Linked DNA regions of Oryza sativa Japonica Group. The main gene of each other region encodes a partner of the protein of the gene in region 2 in a complex. Links are inferred from orthologs where the notes say so. Each region holds a gene or a part of one and is shown on either strand. Other genes may lie near its edges.

The links. Proteins that work in one complex are often made in the same cells at the same time.
Region 1: rps4 (region 2) and 30S ribosomal protein S31, chloroplastic share a complex: the UniProt entries of both Arabidopsis thaliana proteins name them as parts of the 30S ribosomal subunit. The link is inferred for Oryza sativa Japonica Group from reciprocal best matches to the Arabidopsis thaliana genes rps4 and PSRP4.

The regions. Positions count from the first base shown.
Region 1 is NC_089039.1:5,295,874-5,298,808, forward strand, and holds 30S ribosomal protein S31, chloroplastic, read right to left. Parts: upstream 1,657-2,935; 5' UTR 1,611-1,656; coding exon 1,427-1,610; intron 1,209-1,426; coding exon 1,144-1,208; intron 1,060-1,143; coding exon 892-1,059; 3' UTR 501-891; downstream 1-500. Other genes in the region: pseudo histidine-containing phosphotransfer protein 2, read right to left, coding at 2,465-2,515, 2,623-2,695, 2,794-2,865.
Region 2 is NC_001320.1:44,310-46,727, forward strand, and holds rps4 (ribosomal protein S4), read right to left. Parts: upstream 1,107-2,418; coding exon 501-1,106; downstream 1-500. UniProt on the Arabidopsis thaliana protein: One of the primary rRNA binding proteins, it binds directly to 16S rRNA where it nucleates assembly of the body of the 30S subunit. With S5 and S12 plays an important role in translational accuracy.

The sequences.
Region 1 (2,935 bases), on a different chromosome or scaffold from region 2:
ATGTTAGGACTGTGGGAAAATGTTTGGTTTGTTACTTCACCAAATTTTTGAACAGATGGCGGGTTTGTTTCGTACGTTACCAAATTTTGGTAAGGTAGGGATACTCGAACATATTTGGTTCGTTATCTTACCAAAATTTGTGATGGCTTGAAATGGTAGCAAACAAAACATGCTTCAGGGTTTAGGGTTCTTAAAGCCATTGCGTAGCAGGGTTTACACTTCCAGTTTGGGCCAAAATTGTAGTATATTTCGGGCGAGATAGTTGCTTACCCTTGTGGGCGGGGGGAGCAGCTCACAACAAACTTGCAGACGAAACAACAAAAAATGACAGAATTTTAACATACAATTACCACCAAGCTGACCAGTTGAACTGGTTTGTTGTCCAGCTTTAAAGGAATATGTTTTGCAGATCATCAAAACAATTTCTTGTGTCAAAACTCAAGCGCATAACAGAGTCAACAGACAAAACAACAAAAAAGGGGCAGATTTCTGACCCGATCTGATGGACTGGTTTATTAGTTGATTCTTAAGAACTGCTTCCCAGATCATCACAACAAATTCGAAGCATGTCAAAAGGTGCTTGAATTCAGGGACACAGCTAGAAAAGAAAAAAAAAAGAGATACTGCATCTTCCCTGGTTTCTAGCAAGAACATGAAAGTTTGGTGATTGTATCTGTACTTATGTTCTGCTTCAGCTGGTAATGCATAAAAAATGACTCTAAGCAGCACCATTCATATATATTACAAGGAAAGAAATCATAGGCATCTACATTATGTAGAATGAGACCATGTAATGTACTGTAATTAATTTCAAGAAACAGTGTTTGGTACAGACTAGACAAAAGGTAAGCTCAAGGTAAACCATAATTCAAGGGGGGAAATTCAGACAACCTATTCCAGGATGTCATCGTCGATGTCGATCGGGGTGACCTCGCCGTCGTCGAACTGGTCCTTCCTCGGAGGCGCAGGCGGCGCGAACAGCCGTGCAGGGCCAGTTCCCTTCTTCTTGTTGCGCGGCCTCGCCTGAGATGAGCAAACAGCAGTCAGCAGATGGCAAGTCTGAAGAATTGCAGCAAACAGCAGCACAGGAAGCAATAAGCATATGATTTTTTTATTAATTTTATTTTTGTGCTAGAGACTCACATTTCCGTACGAGTGGTTGAACCTTTTTCCCCTCTTGGTCTTCTTGTCCCCTCTCCCGCAGTAAACTGGTCACACCAAATGGAGTAATTTGAGTTGGAATCGTAATTGGTTCAAACTGCGAGGTTTTTGTTTCAATCTATGTTTTGGTGCTGTATCAATTGAATTCGTGCAATACGATTTGAAAAGCAGTTTCATATAAGATCATCGAGCCAATTTCACACCAGACTAATCCGAATTGACGAACAAAACAGAGACAGGGAGGTTAGGTAGGCATGTCAGTTACCTTCAAGAACTGGAGTGAGCGGGGCCGAGAGGGTGGCGGCGGCGGCGGCGGCGACGCGAGAGCGGGAGCGGGAGAATGCGGCGGCGGCGGGGAGCGCGCAGTAGGAGGAGACGGCGGCGTGGTGGTGGGAGGAGGGGAAGGTGGCCGGGGACGCGGCCATGGCGTGGACGGCGAGGAGCGCCATGGAAGCGAGAGAGGAGTGAGAGCTTGAGGAATGGATGGAATCGGATAAGCTGTGCGTGCATCGGAGTAGATAAAACGGAGGGAAAGGGAAGCCCAGGCCCATGGATTGGGCTTTGTCTCTTGGGCCTATGGACCAAGCCCATGATTGGCTTGGCCCTCTGCAATTCTGATGTTTCTCTTTCTTTTTTTTTTGTCCTCTCATTTCTTTTTCTATAGATAATCATTTTTTTATGATTAAATTATTACTACTAGTATAAAACTTATGAAGAATATAGCAAAGTTATGATATTTTTAGGACTTCTGAAGACAAATCTAGCCATAACGTTTTTAAGATTTTAGAAATCGAAACGTTCAAAATGATATTGATGGTTAAAGCTCAAACACTGTTATGAATATTAGTGGAAGAGATGAAAAACCAGTGTTTTTAAGTGTCTTTGGTTCTGGGAATGTGACTATAGCGTTTGTTGAGTATACAAAGTACAAACAAATAGTTTTCCATGATGGCACCTGGGCAATTAATTAACCCAAAAAACTAGTTTACATATTACTAGTTTCAAACATTAAAAGCTCATATTAGTACCATGACACTTTCTGCTACAATTACTGACTAATAACACAAGTTCATGGCACTTTGTAGACAGGCAAGGAGAGTGTGCATAAGCAGGGCTTTACATAACTTCATACAGTATATATGGATTATGGAGCTACAGATGCAATCCAAACACAACAAAAAGGCACCATTAAGCATTATGAGTATCTGATTGGCACAAAAACTTTTCAGCGACAGAATTTTCAAGAGACTGATAGCTGCTATGTATATGTTCTTTATTTTCCTTGGAACTCATACTGTTCTTCTTACTTCCTTGAGCTCACTGCATAATCACGGGGACCAACTTGCCTCAGTAACTGCATCAGCAGAAGGAACAGGAGATAACCAAGTTGTTTAGCCATGTAGCAATGCTGAAAATAAGGTAAACAGAAAGAGAGAGAGACAAGGATGTAGTACAACATACCTGAAAATATGATTCCAGCTTCTGCTTCAGAGTGGCATGCTCCCTCTTCATCTTCTGAAGAGACCTGCGGCATCTGAAAGAGAACATGGCCTCATCACATCATGTGAGGAAATTGCATGATGATTGGATAGTATGTGAAGAACAAGTTGGACGAGTCAATGAAATGCATACCCTTCCAGATTCCTGTCATTGCAGTTTACTTTGAACACAGAGCACTCATTCTTCATCCTCAGTGCACCAATGCTGCGCCAAACACAGGCCAACTTTAGCGAATTTTGAACACATAAAGCAGGCAAAGATGACAAGCTTTCGG
Region 2 (2,418 bases):
TTAGATGAAAAGGAATTTTTCTATCTAATAGAACAATGGAACTCTCGCGCGGTTGTGGTTGTACCTGTACTGCAGGAATAGGAAAACTCGCTATTCACTCAGTTTTTTTTCCATAATAAGATTATGGAGGAGAGATGGCCGAGCGGTTCAAGGCGTAGCATTGGAACTGCTATGTAGACTTTTGTTTACCGAGGGTTCGAATCCCTCTCTTTCCGTTTTTCTTAATTCAGCAACGTTAATGATTACAATGTATCAAATCAAATGACAATTTATTCCAGCAATAATACAATACCTTTATTTAATAGAAATTCTCTATACCAAATTACTATGGTATGTAAAATACACATAGAGGAAAGAACAAAAAACAAAAAGGAATCCTAGGGTTAATCCATTTCTGTTAGGTGAATGGGAAAATACGAATTAAGAGCCTTAGGTCGATTTAGTTCGGGGAAAGGGGAAGGGAAGAAAAATTCTATGAACCTTTCCGTTTTTCCTTAAGTTCAAGTTTGACGAGAGTAATATTCTACAACTAACAACTCATTTATTTTGAGACCGACCCACTTCCTATCCAGGATTTTTTTTACTAGTCCTTTATATTGCAATGTGTCAATCGTCAAATGCTTTGGCAATTTCCCCGGGTCGGATGAAGCAATAGAATTTTGAACCAGACGTTTTGATCTTTGGTTATCCTTCGTAGTAATAATATCTCGGGGTTTGCAACGAAAACTTGGTATATCGACTATACGACCATTAACTAAAATATGTCTATGGTTAACTAATTGCCGGGCCTCGGGAATGGTTGAAGCCATACCTAATCGAAAAAGGATATTATCCAAACGCATTTCAAGTAATTGTAGTAAAACCTGACCTGTTGAACTTTTTGCTTTTCCAGCGATATGTACATATCTAAGTAATTGTCGTTCTGTCAGACCATAATGAAAACGCAATTTCTGTTTTTCTTGAAGACGAATACGATATTGTTCTTTTTTCCCAGAATGGAATTTCTTTTTCAGATTACTTCCGGATTTAGGTGTTTTTCTAGTGAGTCCTGGTAAAGCTCCCAGACGGCGTATTTTTTTAAAACGAGGTCCTCGATAACGGGACATGAAGACTCCTTTTTTTATTGAAATTTCATTTTACACAATTAATTTCATTGTATTTACATTACAGAATACATCGAAATTAAAACTGAATTAAAGTAAAGGATAAACAGAGTAAAATCTACTAAAAGTACCACAAAAAAATGGAATTTCATCAACATCTGAATTTTTGTATATATATTATTTATTTTATTGTTTTGTATCTAGCAAAATTGTAGGGTAGACCGACATAATAGATCCTGGCTTCTCCATTTAATTCGGAGAAAAAGAGGTATTTTTGTTCATGGAACATTGATAGAGAAAAAAGCCGACTATCGGATTTGAACCGATGACCCTCGCATTACAAATGCGATGCTCTAACCTCTGAGCTAAGTGGGCTTACATAACAGAAATAGTGTAACAAATAGAAATATGTATAGTATAGGAAATCCGTAAAATGTCAGATCTTAATTATTAATCTTAGCTATTAACTAGTTCGAAATTGGAAGTTCTACTTAGAAAAAAATACTAGAACTTCATAAAATAAAGTTAGATAGATTTTTTTGAACTTTCTTTTTTCTCTAATTCGCAAATCTATTTTTCTAATAGAATCTATTCCAATTTCTATATTGAATTTGATTTTAGATATTTTTAATTTGATATGGCTCGGACGAATAATCTAATACATGGAAAAGAATAAATAATATATATTATATACGAAAACATAATAAAGAGAACATGCGAATTTCTTGTATTTTCAGTCCATCATTATAGACATTTTTTGAGATTATTTTGTTTTTTTTTGTTATTTGCTAATAATTTAATGATTAATATTTCACTAAGGAGAACATAGAATCATAGCAAATGAAATTGCTAATTCTGATTAGCAAAAAAAAAGAATGAATATCAAGCGTTATAGTATGATTTTGAATACTCTAAAAAAGGAACGCGGTAGGTGGGGGAGAGAAAAACCTTGGGATATATTGATTCGCATTGAATTGCAAATACATCAACGATAGAATCAATTCAATGCTGAATTGCAATAAGCGGAGTCTCTCAACTAGAGACGAACCGCTAGACTACATAGAGTAATGAATTCAACGATTCAAAAAAAACTAACAGATGGAGGAAATTGCACAAGGAATCCTGGTCTCAAAGAAAAAGAAAATGGGGATATGGCGAAATCGGTAGACGCTACGGACTTGATTGTATTGAGCCTTGGTATGGAAACCTGCTAAGTGGCAACTTCCAAATTCAGAGAAACCCTGGAATTAAAAAAGGGGCAATCCTGAGCCAAATCCATGTTTTGAGAAAACAAGCGGTTCTCGAACTAGAACCC